Arabidopsis thaliana: one gene and its partners. The protein of the gene in region 3 interacts with the protein of the main gene of each other region in a biochemical or structural test. Each region holds a gene or a part of one and is shown on either strand. Other genes may lie near its edges.

What was found.
Region 1: of the proteins of ATMPK8 (region 3) and TT2, one has a biochemical effect on the other in vitro, tested with the Arabidopsis thaliana proteins (one large-scale study listed by BioGRID).
Region 2: of the proteins of ATMPK8 (region 3) and AGL49, one has a biochemical effect on the other in vitro, tested with the Arabidopsis thaliana proteins (one large-scale study listed by BioGRID).

What each region holds. Positions count from the first base shown.
Region 1 is NC_003076.8:13,724,158-13,729,382, reverse strand, and holds TT2 (Duplicated homeodomain-like superfamily protein), read right to left. Parts: upstream 2,641-5,225; 5' UTR 2,577-2,640; coding exon of another isoform or gene 2,513-2,576; coding exon 2,235-2,512; intron 2,162-2,234; coding exon 1,654-2,161; 3' UTR 1,422-1,653; downstream 1-1,421. UniProt on the Arabidopsis thaliana protein: Transcription activator, when associated with BHLH2/EGL3/MYC146, BHLH12/MYC1, or BHLH42/TT8. Involved in the control of flavonoid late metabolism in developing siliques.
Region 2 is NC_003070.9:22,117,553-22,122,217, reverse strand, and holds AGL49 (AGAMOUS-like 49), read left to right. Parts: upstream 1-2,288; coding exon 2,289-3,143; 3' UTR 3,144-3,244; downstream 3,245-4,665. Other genes in the region: UMAMIT35 (Nodulin MtN21 /EamA-like transporter family protein), read left to right, coding at 10-161, 500-668. UniProt on the Arabidopsis thaliana protein: Probable transcription factor that may function in the maintenance of the proper function of the central cell in pollen tube attraction.
Region 3 is NC_003070.9:6,243,286-6,250,377, forward strand, and holds ATMPK8 (Protein kinase superfamily protein), read right to left. Parts: upstream 4,528-7,092; 5' UTR 4,381-4,527; exon of another isoform or gene 4,307-4,380; 5' UTR 4,298-4,306; coding exon 4,031-4,297; intron 3,804-4,030; coding exon 3,401-3,803; intron 3,309-3,400; coding exon 3,181-3,308; intron 3,079-3,180; coding exon 3,019-3,078; intron 2,861-3,018; coding exon 2,711-2,860; intron 2,599-2,710; coding exon 2,443-2,598; intron 2,352-2,442; coding exon 2,214-2,351; intron 2,100-2,213; coding exon 2,026-2,099; intron 1,939-2,025; coding exon 1,822-1,938; intron 1,732-1,821; coding exon 1,533-1,731; intron 1,434-1,532; coding exon 1,356-1,433; 3' UTR 1,013-1,355; downstream 1-1,012. Other genes in the region: AT1G18160 (Protein kinase superfamily protein), read left to right, coding at 5,841-6,329, 6,486-6,926. UniProt on the Arabidopsis thaliana protein: MKK3-MPK8 and CAMs-MPK8 modules negatively regulates ROS accumulation through controlling expression of the RBOHD gene during wounding.

The sequences.
Region 1 (5,225 bases), on a different chromosome or scaffold from region 3:
TATTCTTATGGATTTTTCTTTCAGGGTAAACACTAGATTACAAAAACTAGCCCGGTGTTGGTCAATATTATACCACAAATAAAATCATGGAATTAAAAATCAAAATATAGTTATACAATCTGAAACAATAAACAAAACAAATATAACTTAATTTATTTTTTATTTTTAACTAAAATCAACAAATTTATTTGTTTATAAAAAATAAAATAAAAATTAGCATGTGGTACCTTACGGGTAAATCACTACGATTTCATGAGGTTACAATATCAATTTATACAAATTTTGACTTTTAAAATATACTTTATATAATTATTGAAAGGTATACACTAAAAATCGGTTTTATATACTTCAATATCATAAATTTATAAATCGCAAATTATTTTTAAATATATTAATCCAAGATCTACCACAGGTCAATCTCTTGATTTTTAATATATTACAATAAGAATATTTAAAAATAACAAAATAATATTTAATTTTACGGAATGAAGTTATCTGGTGGAACGAGTTTGGGTTGATACTCATACGGGACGATAATCTACGAGTGTAATCTTAGAATTAACAATTTTAACACAATTATACAATCTTAAACACTAAACAAAAGAAACAATATTTACAAAACAACTATAACCTAAAATTCAAATTTTTAGTTACAAAAAAATCGAACAACGGTGTACAGCGGAGTAAAGTTTACATTATATCATCTAATTGATCAAATTTCAAACAAAAACAATTCATTTGTATATACATCAAACTAACAAAAATACACAGATTTTCCAAATATCTCTATATTATTCCGCAAATCAAAACAAATCTAACATTCGATTTACTATGCAAAACACAAATGAAATATAAATAATATAAATTAATAAAAAAAATTTAGTTATTATATCATAAATAACACTATACACTTTTCTATGCACATTATAATTTATACACTACAATATCTTTCACTAAAAATGTATTCTAATACATTTCTTAAAATATGAAACCCCGCACGTATGTGCGGGTCAGAATCTAGTTTCCTTTAAAATACAAACACTTTTTGATGTCCAATAAAATACATGATTTTTTAGTATCCTTAAAATACATAAACTTCTAAATTGTACCCATAAAATACAGGAGATAGGGGGAAAATCCGGAATATTCCTTTGTTTTGTTTTTCAAATATGTACTGGCACATGACTTAGAACAACCATGCATCTAGTATTTATTTATACGATGATTCCAAAAATGAGAAGAACAAATTCCTTACATTAATGACTATGCCTGCCTATAAATAGACTATACATGTATATTCTAGTAATATTTCGTAATAACAAAATTGTAAAGTTGATTCGTATTACCAATAATTCACAAGTAGAATTTATAGGTTGGGTGGTTAAGCGGTGGTTAGGTTATAATAAAAGCTCTATCATTTGCTCATACATAAATTTACAAAATCTATCAAAAATATTTATGTCGTACGTATTTGCAATAATAAAAAATTATTAGTTAAAGACAAAACCCATTTCTATAACATGTGGATCGTATAATTATTTGTATTTCTTGGTCTCCTTAGTAAGTTAGTAATTAGAAGCGTTCAGACAAATACAGATATACTTTTGTCCGTATAGAGAAATATGTATTAACGTAGGTTTTTGCAATATAGGCTCAACAAGTGAAGTCTCGGAGCCAATCTTCATCGTCGCCACGATGATGACAAGAAGTGAAAGGTCTATTGAGATCGAGATTACCTTGAGCAGGAACCAACTCTCCCAAAATCTCGTTAGATGAAACAAGAGATGTAACGTTTCCACAGTCCAAACCATCAAAATCCATCAAATCCGGGAAGTGAAACTCCGAATGGATCCTATCGAAATCGAATTCGAGATCTCCCATCAACGAAGATCCACCTTGATCCATCTCTTGTTCTTTCAGAGGTAGTGGACTAGTACTACTCTTCTTCTGAAGAGAGAGATCCGAGAAGAGAAGAGTCTTTGAGCACCTAATCGCCTTTGTACGTATAACACATACATTATTCTCGTTGTTCGTCGAATGTTTTATACGTTTTGGTTGCTTGGTTTGAGTTTTGGGAAGTCTTTTGCGGAGGTTTGAGTTCCAATGATTCTTTATTTCATTGTCTGTTCGGCCTGGAAGCCTCCCAGCTATCAACGACCATCTGCTTTAATTATAATGTCACATAACAAATAACTTTACTACAAAAAGAAAATTCTATGTGGTTAGTGAAAAACCTGTTTCCAAGAAGATTATGGAGACGGATTATGAGTTCTTCTTCATCAGATGAGATGTTACCGCGCTTTATCCCCGGTCTTAGGTAGTTCTTCCACCGAAGTCTACAGCTTTTGCCACACCTCTTGAGACCTTTTATGTGTGCCAAGACAATTATTGTACGTAGAAGATATAAAGACGGATCGGTAGATAGAGAGATTAGTACCAGCTTGGTTAGGGAGAGTGCTCCATTTGCCTTCGCCGTGAGTGGTGATGTAATCTCTAAGGATCTTGTCTTCATGATCAGTCCAAGCTCCTCTGTTTAACTCTTCTCTCCTCACACTAGTAGTTGCTCTCTTTCCCATTCTCACTTTTCTCTCTCTTGTGGTTGTGTGGTTGGTACAATTGTCTTTAGTGTTGTGTTGAGAATAGATTCTGTTTTTGTGTTTAGCTGAGTATCTTTATAGGGGAGTTGTTGATATGTCCGTACATCAGTCGCTTTCTAAAACCTCTGTCATACACACTTTGAAATTTTAATGCTTTCTTCACCTGGTAATAATTAGCTTTGGTGAGGTTAATTTTACCGAATTTTAACATCTACAAAGAGTTTTTCTAAGCCAAGTGTGAATTTAGGCCTGGGAGTTCGGCAAATCGGTTTAATCGGGTCGGGTTATTCGGTTTTAGGGAATTTCGGTTTTTGGAAATGCTTCCGAATTAAACCGAATTTAATTTCGGTTCGGTTCGGTCGGGACTCGGGTTTTTCAGGTCGGTTATCTAGATTTATTTAACTTCCGAAATAAAACTGAAAATTTTCATATTCGGTTTATTTGAACCGAATTAGACATGTATCAAATACGGGAAAAGGGTATTTTCATACCCGTACTATTTTCTGAGTGTATTTTCGTATCCAAAAAAATTTGTTGGGTATTTTCATATATTAACCGCATATTTATTTGAATTTCATACCTCAACTTAAGAAAAAGTACAAAATTCAGAGTCAAAGTAACGGGTGTTAGTCAACTCCGTGAAGATGATAAGTCAGCAGACACATGGAAAATATGTGTCTATAACGACGTCGTTTTACGTTATGAACGTTTAAAATGTTAAATTTGTTGGGTAGTTTCATATCTAAACCGCATATTTATTTTAATTTAAAAAAAAGATTGCTAGGTAAACAAAGTATAAGAGAATACATGGTCACACATACCTACTATACATTGTATATCCAGCTACACGAAGTAGACACGAAGTAGATGTATTACATGACCACATATATGAAGTATAGGACGTCATGTGGTTAACACCATTGACATACAATTCCGGTAAACCGGTCAGTTGACTCAGGCTTTGACTAGTGTTGACCGGCGTTGACCAACAAAAAAATTTAAAATTATTTTTAATACTCAAAAATACGAAAATATTTTTTTTCTTTTATATATTCAAAAACATATTCTATATTTCGTAAAAATATATTTGTATTTTCAATGCATTAAATCTTATAATAATTAGTTTTATTTTTAATTTCAAAACTAAACTAAAACTAGAATAAAAATCATTATTAAACTTTAGATTAAAGAGTCATATACTCAATTGTATTAGGAAGCAATATGAAATTGAGTATATGACTCTTTAATCTAAAGTTTGCATGGTAAAGAAAATTATAATATTTTTTATATACTCTTTAGTCTAAATTTATTTTTGTATACTATGTAGTTCCTTTTGTAACAAATATTATTAAGAAAAGTTCTCGTAGTAACACATAAACAACCAAAAACTTGCAATTTTTCTTTTTAATATATAAAAAGATAGAAAATCTAACAATGTTGATTTCAGCAAAAAAGTTTTTAAAATAAAATTCATTTGTATTACGTTTTATTCTAATAATTTTTGTGGTTGATTTTTTTTTATAAAAAATATTGTATAGAAATAATTGAAGTGTTTTAATTGACACTATAAAAATAAGCAATTTCCTTACTTAATTAACTATAATAATATTTTCCTGTTTTCATTTAAAATTTAAAATTTAATAATGATTTTTAATCTATTTTTAGTTAAATTTTGATTTTTTTTGTAAAACTAATTTTTCTAAGATTTAATGCATTGAAATATAGAATATGTTTTTGAATATACAAAACCAAAAAAAAAATATTTTGTATTTTTGAATATTTAAAATAATTTAAAAGATTTTTTTGAATTTTTTTGTTGGTCAACGCCGGTCAACCCTAGTCAACGCCGGAGTCAACTGACCGGTTTATCGGAATTGTATGTCTATGGTGTTAACCACATGACGTCCTATACTTTGTATATGTGGTCATACAATACATTTACTTCGTGTAGTTTGAATTTACTTTGACATTGTTTTGCGTTATGAACATTGAAAATGTTCGAAATTGTTAGATATTAATGATTCCATGTTGCGATAGAATATCGATAATGTTAGATATTAACAAATATATAATCTGGATGAAATGGTTAGATATTCTGTTAAATGTCTTTAAAGACGTGGGTTCGAATCCTGCATGTTGCAAATTTTTTAACATTTAAAACGTTCATAACGCAAAACAACGTCGTTTTAGACACATCATAATTCACGTGTCTGTTGACTCAACATTTTTCACGGAGTTGACTAACACCCGTTAGTTTGACTATGAATTTTGCACTTTTTCTTAAGTTGAGGTAGGAAATTCAAATAAATATGTGGTTTAGGTATTAAAATACCTAACAAATTTAACATTTTAAACGTTCATAACTCAAAACGATGTCGTTTTAGACACATCAGATTCCACGTGTCTGCTGACTCAGCATCTTTACGGAGTTGACTAACACTCGTTAGTTTGACTCTGAATTTTGCACTTTTTCTTAAGTTGAGGTATATACAACAACAATATATGATATAGTGATATAAGGTATGTAGTTATGTTATTTATGTTTTTGGAAACTTGGCTAACTTAATTGTAACAAATAATTCTTTATTCTATATATTCTTTCGTCATCTAGTACACCAACTACATCCT
Region 2 (4,665 bases), about 16 Mb from region 3:
CATTTATAGGGAATATTTGGGAGCATAATCAGAACAAGTGTTCAAGTGAAGTGCTCCAAAATGAAGGGGCCTTATTATGTGCCACTCTTCAAGCCATTTGGGATCCTTTGGGCTTCCATTTTTGGCACAAGCTTCTTTGTCAATAGTCTTCACTATGGAAGGTAAATATAATTTTCGAAAGTTATATTTAAACAACGAAGAGACTCAAATTATTCTCTAGTTACATGCGTTCATTTATTTTTAACCCAAATGCTTAATACCAAATCAAATATGCATATATGTTTGATATGACTTTTATTCCTGTTCAAATTTTATTATATACATATCTTAATGTGTTATATAAAAAATTTAAGTTGTCCCTTAGTTTCCTTTTTGATTTTTTCATATTTTAAAATAAGTAAAAAAGTTCAAACCAATTTTTTTTTTTTTAGTTTACATATCAATTTTCGATTTGAATATGATATGTTCAGGTTGTTAAATGTGAACTTCTTGTGAACAGTGTGTTAGGAGCTGCTATAGCAGGAACTGGATATCTATTGATAATGTGGAGTCAAGTTCAAAAAGATGATCCAAATGAAACGGTGGAGAAAAACGATAATCATCAATTGGATTCAGATGAACAGACAACTCCACTTTTGCTCGCGAATGGTGATTTTGATCAAGTTTAATTCAGAAATGGTTGTTCGCCTAATGTGTTTAGTTGTGTTATGTTAAACATAAATTAAGGGTAAGTAAATCGAAGAAATTATATATAAAAAAAAACATATGTGTGTGAAGCAAAACAAATATATATATAAAGTCTTGTAACGTTTTTTTGTATGAGAGGAATGTATCAAAGTCTATCAAAATTAAAAGTAAATTATGAGTTAAAATAAAACGAAAAAAATATAAGTTTTACTTTTTATCCAAATAAAACTCACGATGCAATCATATATGCAACCTCAAATGAGGACTAAATAGTAAATAGTTGTTACTTATATGAAACTACTTGAAGGTCCATCTTTGGCATTCGTCTCACTATAAACGGGAATGATCCGGTTGATCTAATTTAGTAATTTATATCAGTTCCAAGAGAATTTTCACAAACACTGAACCCAACCAAAACTCATTCGATATAATCAAACTACAATAAAAACAGTTCAAATAGAAAAAAAACCATAAATGACCATGAAAACAAATTGTGGTTAATGTTTTTGATATATAGCTACTAAAACAGTCAAAATTGTTTAACATCCAATTAGCTACATCTTTTTGCAGCACCCACCGCATCTGCAAAAAAAATGAATAAAATCCAAAACCGAGGTGAATGCTGAATCAGACACAAACCAGTTGTGGAGAGTTTGGTTGAAGACATGAATTCAAACCCGAAACAGACTAACCAAAAAGCTTTTCTACGAACTTTTCTTAAAAAGACACATTTGTTTAGTCATTAACTTAGAATAACTAACAAAATTATCTCTAAGCATTTGGAGGGTAATTATGCACTCAATTAGTTGCCAAATTATAAGTTGTATTGAAGGAGAAATTAGGTAAGAGGAATTCTTGATTTCGAAGGCGTTGGACTCGAATTACCCTATTTCTCTATCAATCCAACTTAATTTCGATTCTAGAATTCCTAGGGTTTGAAGAGTATGTTGGACGGTTTGTGGGATCTTATCTCTGAAAGCAGTGTTCTTATTGAAAAATTGGGAAAATCAATCGTCTCTCAGGTTTTTACCAATTACATGAGTTGTGAGTTAATTAAGGTTTAACGTATATGACCAGTTGTGTTTATGTTCTGCTTTGTGTTGTCCAATTATTGAGACCTTTTTTTTTTGGGCAAATCCAATTATTGAGACCATGTGTAAATGTTATTACTTTTTAAAGCAAATATGTAGGTAAATAAAAATAATTGACTTAAGCCAAATAATAAAATTGACAAAACCACTTAAGAAGACTGCGTCGATTTATAAAATATTTGTTGGCAATTAATTGAGGAAAAATACAGTTACGCGTTTCATAAAAACTAAATAAAATAGGATGAAGCAAAAAAAGGAAAATATCACTACGAGATCTAATGAAAAGACCTCACAAGATTTCGGACGCGCATATTAGATATGATTTTTTACGCATTTTCACCAAATTATGACCGTTGTGGGATTGAGGAAACCTAATCTTCTAAGTCTCTATATATTAAAGAATCATCATAGCCTTCTCGTTGCACTTCCCATTACGATCGAAAGTTCTCTGCTTTTTATCTCTCTCTCACGATTTAATCAAAGTTTCATCTTCTCTCTCTCTTTCAAAAGATGGCTCCTCGTCAGAAGAAACCTAACAAGTCCGATGATGATGATGGTGATTTGCATAGGAAGAAACAGAGCTTTTTCAAACAGAGATTTCCAGGCTTTAAGAAGAAAGCCTCAGAGCTCTCTGTTCTCTGCGGCAACTCTGTCGGTTTCATCTGTTACGGTCCCGACAACGATCTCCATGTTTGGCCTCAGTCTCAAGATCATAACCCACAAGCCCTACATGAGATCGTGGCCAAGTTCAATGCCTTGAGTGATGAGAGGAGGAAGAATCATGCATGTGATCTCAATGACTTCCCTCATCATCTCAAGGGTTTGTCTCGTGAGGAGTTAAGGAAGCATCTCCTTCACCTTGACTCTCAATTACTTGGAGTCAGGGAACAAAAGATAGAAATTCTTAAGAAGACGCTCACGGGTTCTTCCGAAAAAGATGGTGCAAGGGTTTCAGAGAACTCGGCCATCTCCGATCACAAGTTGAAGATAGAGCCTAATTTGACGGATATATTGTCAGAAGATCATCTAATTAGGGTTTCAGATAAGAAGCTGGGTTCGTGTGATGTATTTGACGAGTTGGCTTACGTGGTCCGCGGGTCAAGGAATTTGAACGAGAATGTTTCCAATTACGAATCAAAAGATGCAGCTTACACGGGAATGGATCATCTTGGCACTTTCGGCGGTAATTATCTTCAGGAGGCGGCGGCAGAACTTTACCAAACTTACAATCTAGGGAATTTTTGTGATGATCATGTTTGGGATCTGGAGTTTGCCTCAAGACTACCACCACTTCATACATTTAGCGATCCTCTCATGACCACCAATACTTGCCAAACGATGAGCTCCGATATGATTTCAATTTGATAACTTGATGACTACGTTAGTGAAATCATGTTTCTTTCACCTTTTCTCGGTGATTGATCATTTTTTAGTATCTCTTAACTTGTATGTTTGCTCCAACACAAATCCATGTTTGTAAAGTTGGTAGTTTTTTTTCTTGTTTATTATTGATTAATCAAACTTTTCCTTTCTTTCTGTTATTCTTTCTCTGTAACCCTATTTTGACTGCAACACCAACTTATCAGATAAACAAAACGTTGTAAACCATGCAAGAAACAAAGAGTTCATAACCTAAATTGCACAACTCGTTAAAGCTTCTAGAGCAGGGAATGAAAGTTATACATACTTGTTCAGATGTTAATTCACTGTCAAGTCTTGGAGATGCCTTGTTTTTAATGACGGATGACACGTTCTTTATGTCAATCTAGTGTTTGCTTCAGCAAGTCTTTCTGTCCCTCGACCTCGTGTTTACCAAGTCAACATTCCTAATCAGCATTCTCATAATTAGAACGAACTTCAGTGGAGTAACTCAACTGATCAACTTGTGACGTAAACACAAAATAAAGTACCCATGAAACTACATATAAGCTTTGTTCACGATCAAATTCATAAGCATATCCATGAATCAAATCCCCAAAACTTCAATTCTACAAGGCTTGCGATGCAATATAATTATTACTCTATATGCTATTTATTTGATTGCCACTGATTTGGCCACTACCACAAGTTTTAAAAAATTTGAGATAAAAATTGGCACATGTTCTCCCTAAAGTAACTGTTAGAACGTGACGACTAGTAGTTACCAATGAAAAGTTGGCAGACGTTCTTGCAAAAATATTAGCTAATGGTGAGTGACTAGCAGCTGCCAATGACAAAGCTAACAGTTTTTTTTTTTTTTTCTAAATTATCTAAAGACAAAACTAACAGTAAGTCCCCAAAAAATAACAGTTAGTTGTGAAACTATATACAGTATACTATCAATTAGCGACTGCTAGTACTGTCGAACCGACGACTAACGTCAGCTAGTTGAAGAACTTGCCGTCTCTTCTGGAACTCCGTTGGTCTATTTTTCAGCCAAAACACAAAAACTAAAAAGTTTTAAGTACTGATGTTCACAGAGCAATGATTTGTCAAATTTTTCAAGTGAAAAGTCCTCCCTTAATAATACTGTTACTTGTAAAGTTTCAAAAGTCAAAGTGGTTGTAACTTGTGGTGTAGTAAGGTAGAGTTTTACGCTAAATAAAAACATCCCAAAACTGATTATAACCCCATTCAATATGGTTCCAATTTAGAAAAGTATATAGTATTAATAGAGTAAAGTGTGGGGATGGAGTCATTAAAGGTAGAAGAGAAGTATGCATGTCTACGGATTGCTTCGACTTTACGTTATGCTAAAGTATATAAAGGTGAAAGAAGCGACTGTTGAATTTATTTCATTTTTCCTCAATTACAATTTTTTGATTAACTAGGTTCTAAATTGACGGTCATACAATTTCTAAACACATAATATTTTTTGAATATTTTATCCGTACCAACAACTATCACT
Region 3 (7,092 bases):
GTGCATGGGTTGGTGCGAGCCATCGAAGAGAACAAATAATAGGACGAAATTGCAAACTGTTTTAAACCTGATAAAAAATATATGAATTACATACTACAAATGCAAGTCTCCTTTTTCATTCGTAAATAGAACACAACTCATAAACTGATGCTTTGCAAAAATTTAACATGGATTTAAAATGCAAAATGATTCCTATGAAAACAAAAAGAAAATGTGTGAGCTCCAATGATATAGAGGAGTCGAAAATAAAACTATAAATGGATGTGAATCTTCAGCATGTTTAAGACCACAAACCGTTTTATGAGAACAAAAAATATGTAGTTTGAACCGATTTTCTTTTCACTGGCGATTAGAAAAGACTTGTAATATAACTTTTCTTCGGACATTTTAACTTCCAATTTTATTAGTCAAGAGTTTTGTGACAATCTTCCTTTACGATCCTATAGTTTACATGAAACCAACTTTTTCTTTAATTTATATTTGTAGTGGTCATAATTTGAAGTCAAATTCCAAAGTTTGGCGGCATGATCCATTAGTATAATGTTAGTTTTTTTTCACTTTTAAACATGCACAAATTCAATTAGTATTTCTACTAAATAATGTAAAAACAGTGTAGCCTAATTGCTTTAACCAATCTGGCGTCTGTGGACTTTGTTCGCCATATATACATCAACTTTTTGCAGTTTCTTTTTCTTATCGAGACTGTAGTTTGGAGTTGGTGAGTAAGCTCCCTGGAGCTCACTTTACTCGACCATACCATTATTTCTGACCTCTTTTTCAAAAACCCGATTTTGTTCATTTTTTTTCTTCTTCTTTTTGTCGTTTTATTTATTTTATTTTGTCGTTATGAGATTAGTCCAAGAATGGTATCAATTCAGATGGACCATGGAATATAAATAATAGATATTAGGTTAGTCTTCGTCATTAAAAAGCCAACTAACACAGCATTATTATTATGTGTGCTAATTTTTTAGTCTTATCTTTTTTACTTTTAAGAAGTCGAGTATGTTCTTCAGGTTAATATAATTTATTATATAAGACCCAATATCCCGGTTTGACCTGGACCGGATCATACCAATCACACAAACTCTCCCAAAGTACTGAAGCAAAGTGAATACTGAATAGTATATAAATAATTTCAAAATATGAGTGTTTAAAGAAAAGAGAGAAACAAAAAAATTACATGGAGATCGATGTTTTTATTTAAAGTTTCATCAAACCCCCAAAACTATTAAATACAACAAATCAAACCCAACCACGAAGATAGATGTGGATGAATGGAGAAACCAATTTCTTTTCACCAGAAAACTTTCGTGAAAAAAGAAAAGAAAAGAAAAAAAATAACTAAATCATTTTTAAGAATTGTGAAGAGAAGCAACTTTATCAGTAAGCTCTGCAACTGTTTCATTATCTTCTTCCTCAGCTATGGTATCCTGCAAACAAAGAGAAAAGAACAACAGTAAGCAAACTTCATCGTCATGTTCCTTTTCAAGATCTTCTGTTTTTCTTTCTTTCTTTCTTTACTAACTAACCTCTTTGTCAGTTTTAGATTGGACACCAATGCATTTAGAACCGCTGATGCTTGCACTCTTCATGAGGTTACGAGCACTGTAACCTCCTCCATTGTCTGCTTCCTCGGATTCCAAGGTTGAAGCCACAGCAGCTGCTGCTCTTCTCTCAACATCACTGCTTTCTTCTGCAGTTTCACCATTTGGAGCAGGAACTCTCTCTCTGCAACATCATCATAGAGAAGCACAATGCTCTCAGAGGGAGATTGAGAAGAGAAGAGAAGAGATAGAGAGATTCTGTGAAAGACATTACCTTGGCAAGGAAGCATGATGTCTGTGAAGTGCAGTACTTCTTCCTCCTCCTGCTGCTCCTGGTTTACCTTGATTTTCTTCAAGATGAGCAAATTGCCTTTTAAATCGGTCTACCCCACTGCGCGTAAACAACAAAAAGATTTATCGAGTTCATAACTTTCTGTTTTCAAGACTTATAGTTTCTGTTAACTGTTAATTAGCTAACCTTGGGTACATAAAGCTAAGCTGATCACCACCACGAAGGTATTCCTCCAACATCTGAGGATGATATTCCAATATCTGATATTTACAAAATCCAAAGAAAAGTGATTGTTAGGATCAATGAATAACATTGAAACAAATTCAGATTAAAGAAAAGGATATATGTAGAAGGCTTTTGTGTTTGTTTGTTACCTCTCGGTAAATTAATTCTCTGACATCATCTTTAACTAACTTCTTTCTCTCAAAGTCAAATTCAAGCTTTGAAATTGGCTGTGTTGTTGGTTCACGCTCTGAATTTGACAAACCACTGAAATATGGATCAGCTAGTGCCTGTAATATGAAAATCAAAAACGACGAATATAAGAGTTTCGTTCTGTATAAAACAAAAGGGAAAAGTAAAGCAAATTTACTTCTCACTTACATCTTCAGCTGATGCACGATCTTTCGGATCAAAGGCAAGCAGGCGTTCCAGAAGGCGGAGAGCCAAAGGATCAGCTTTAGGGAATTTATGAGAGAAAGGGACTGGTTGTTTTTTCCTCATGCTGCTAAGATATCTCCTCGCCTTTTCATTTCTAATCTGTAGAAGTCCAAGATTGCAAAGCTCATTACAAGGATTAAATTACTCTCAATGATGTATGGAACATTAAATTTGCTACAGAAAATATGAACAAGTGTTTTGAGTGACTAACCCTTGATATTGACTCAGGAGGTGGAGTACCAAGAAAGTCAGTCATTAGATCCAATTGGTGCACAACGTTTTTCCCGGGAAACAAAGGCTTACCCAAAAGCATTTCCGCAAAAATGCAACCGACACTCCAGATATCAATCGCAGGGGTATACTGAAATATAACAAGAGTAGACTTAGCTTGAGATGGCTGGTCTTCTCAACAACACTATAGAACCACACAACAATATTCTACAAAATAGAAAACTAGAAGCATTTTCCTGGTAGGGAGAAATAGCAAGAGTAGTTGGGTTTGGTGAAAAAGAATCTTACTTTGGAGAAAAACGATCCACAGAGTTCAGGGGCACGATACCACCGAGTAGCTACATAATCCTACAAAATCCATATAAACGAAATGAGCTCACAAGCATTTGAAAATAGTTAAGAGGAAGCCTAATGAACAGTTTTGCTTTCACATTGAGTTAGATGACTCACAGTCCAAAATATAGCGGTTGGGGCATCGTTAAAAGAAACGCGAGCCAGCCCAAAATCACAGATCTTCAATTTGCAATCAGCATTAGCTAGAATGTTCTTCGGTTTCAAATCCCGATGAAACACATTAGCTGAAAACAGAGAACCCTTAAGTGTTTCAATATTATCTATAACAAAAATCATGAGGATCGAAAGAGACCAATGTGTAAAACCAGAAACTAACCTGCGTGAACATATTTCAGACCACGAAGAAGCTGGTACAAGAAAAACTGATAATGCTCAGGAGTCAAATCATCATTCGCCTTGATCACTTGATGAAGATCAGATTCCATCAACTCAAAGACAACATAAATATCGCGGAATTCTCTGCGAGAAGGAGGTAACATGATGTGTTTAATCTCCACAACATCAGGATGACGAAGCAACCGAAGCAATTTGATCTCTCTGAGAATCCTAGTAGCATCGGAGACATGCTCAAACACATCGTTGATCTTCTTGATCGCAACTCTCTCTCCAGTGTGTGAGTCAACAGCAGAAGCCACAACACCATAACTTCCTTTGCCAACAACCTCTTGAATCTGATACCTGTTAGCTTCTCCATACTCCGTGAAGAATTCAGTTTCACCCTGAAGAATTTTATTCATGATTCATACTTAAAATTGACCAAAATGATGGATCAAGACAATAAGATCAATCAAACGAAACACAAAACTGAAACTTTATCCTTTTGTGGAAGCAAATGCAATAACACAGAACATTAAGAGAACAAAACAAGTCTCTTCAATCTCAATCAAAAGACAACATCTAAGAGCAAATAGCATAAAAGGGTAGAGAAGGAGAAGAAGAAAGGTACCTTCTTGTGAGGATCCATAGGTAAATGATTACGTTTAGGAACGTTAATAAGCGTTAGACCAGAGAAATCGAGATCTTCTTCAATAATAAGCTCTCCAGAGTTAGCGGAATGATTGGGGTTAGAGGAAGAAGAGAAAGAAGAAGAATTGAAAATGGGTTGTTCGTGATTATTATTATTATTGTTGGAAGAAGAAGAAGAAGAAGAAGAAGAAGGTCGCTGAAAAAGCCATCGACGAACACCGTCGACGAGATTCCCACCACCACCCATAGACCACTACTAGATTAGAAAAGAAAAAGATTAGTAATTTACAAAATTGGGTATCCGAAATTCCTTGAGAGCCAAACAATTACCGTCAAGTCACCGTCTTTCTCGCCGCGTCTCTCGGTTTTGTCCTTCGGAGTTGGAGACCATGTTCTTCTCCTATTTTTTCATTTTTTTTTTAATTTTCTTTTTATGTTTTTTTCATTATTTATGCTCAGATATTTATTTTTTTCCCCTGCTTGATTATTAGAGAGAGTGAGTGGAGGGAGAAGAACAAAATATTTAAACCTTTGGAATATTTCGACGACCCGGTTTGTCTATACCGGTTAATGATAACCTGATTCGGGCATATGCATTTATTGAGTATATGGGCCTACAAAGCGGCCCATACAATAAATGTATTTTCGTTCAATCACTAAACGGATTAAACTCAACCGGACAAGGTTCGAAATTAAGAAGATGTTAGATGTTACATTACAAACCGGAATTAAAAGTCTAATTATGAATCTGAGACACAAAAAAAGAGAGAGTAAAAACGCCTTGCTCGTTCGGTCGCGTTGATGATATGAACATATATTTCATCATGAGCTGAGCAGGTCCAGGAGTCTGTTGCGGTTCGAGCACATCATAGTTATTGGGTCATAAATGAATCCGACAGTAGCGTAATCTAAGCATTTTTTAGTGAATAATACGCTTGATGATATATGTGATATGTCATGGGAGGATAATGCATAAGGTGGTGAGCGAAGCATTTTTTCAGCCAAAAAGACAAAATTTTATTTGAATAAATGATATCAAACAAATCCAGATACGCGAAGGAATATTGAATATGGAAAGCACGATCGTAAACAATTCTGCGATTTATCATTTCTTATTTTTTTTAACAAAATGTACGGTTTTGCATGATATATTTGCATTAAAAATGAATTGGTAAGTTTTTAAATAGCTCTATATTTGCATTAAGCTTTGACTGATTGTACAAAAAATAGAGTAATTTTTTAATTACAGTAGCAAAAAAAAGCAAAACAAAATTCAATTCTCTCCAGCTCAAAAATCCACTCTTCATCCTCTACTATACTCGTATCTATCTATCTACTCTACTCTGTTTTACGTAAGTTTTTTTTAGTTGATTTTCTTTTGTCGGACTTTAAGAGAGAGAAAGTGGCGTCTTTGTGGACTTTCTCAATTCAGGAGAGAGTCAAAGAGAAGGAAGAGGCTTCGCTTACTTGCTGAGAAAAAAGCTCCAAACTTTCTCTTATTGGGTTTTTGATCAGCTCCGGAGATAAAAAAAAAAAGTATTTTCTTGAAATCGAAATCTGATCTCCATTGAGAGTCTTGCTACTTGATTTGGATTCCGATTTAAGGTTTTCTCGAGAATTCTTTTGCTGCAGTTATTAGATTTTGACGAGCCGTTGATCTGGACGGAGTTCCAGATCTCCGGGTCGTGGTACCAAGGAATTAGGGTTTTAGCACAAAGTTCTCGTTTTTCTGTGTATTCGAGGGATGAAGGAGTTTTCGGGTCGATGTTCGCTGCTCTAACATTTGGAGTATGAAGATGAACATGAAGAAATTTCTCAAAAAGCTTCGTATCACGCCCAATCAACGAGACGATGGTGAAGGTTCAGTCTCTAACAGAAGCAATAAGTCTAGTGATGCAGAACCATCTCCTTCTGATTCATTGAGGTCTCAAGATAACTCTGAATTCAAACCCTTTTTGGGTTTATCAAATTGGTTAAGCTCTGTTACTCACAGGAAAAGCCCTTCTTCTTCCAATGCCACCAATAGCAAAGAGGATGACACTACCATGGAACATGGTGGTCCCGTTGGGTCGGAATCTGGGATGCAGGGTTTGGGTTCTAGTAGTAATTCCAAGGATCCAGAAGTTGAAGAAGAATATCAGATACAGTTGGCTCTAGAGTTAAGTGCTAGGGAGGATCCTGAAGCTGCTCAGATTGAGGCTATGAAGCAGTTCAGCTTAGGTTCTCGTCCTTCTGCTCCCGAGAATACTCCAGCTGAACTCATGGCATATAGATATTGGGTGAGTTTTTAACTCATTGCTAGACATAGAAACAAATTTCCAATTCACTTAAGCGACAATAGACTATGCTTGAAACAAAATGTGTTAAGTTGATTATAAGTTTATAACTCTTTTCTGTCTCTTCTAACCAATTTTACATCATCTGGAATTTTGCAGAATTATAACTGTCTTGGCTATGATGACAAGATTGTGGATGGTTTCTATGACCTGTGTGGAGTAATGAATGAATCTTCCTTAAAAAGAATACCTCCCTTAGTTGATCTTCAGGGGACACTTGTGTCAGATGGTGTAACTTGGGATGCTGTTCTAGTGAACAGCAGCAAAGATTCTAATCTGTTGAGACTTGAACAAATGGCTCTTGATATTGCAGCAAAATCAAAGTCAGCGTCTTCTTCAGGGTTTGTGAACAGTGAATTGGTAAGGCAACTGGCAGTTTTAGTTGCTGATTACATGGGTGGACCAGTTTTGGATCCAGATAGCACGTTAAGAGCTTGGTGGAGTCTGAGCTACAGCTTGAAAGCAACCCTCCGTAGCATGGTTCTGCCCCTGGGTTCTCTAACTATTGGATTGGCTCGTCATCGTGCCTTGTTATTCAAAGTATGTACCATGCCCTCATTCACTTTTGCTTTCTGTGAAAATTAGCATAAGAGGGGTATTTTTTGTGATCGCATGACTGTTAAAGCTTCTTGCAGTTTGGTGAATGTTTGAAATTGTGTTCAAAATTGCCCCTGTTTCTCTGACTATATTTATTACATACAAAGCG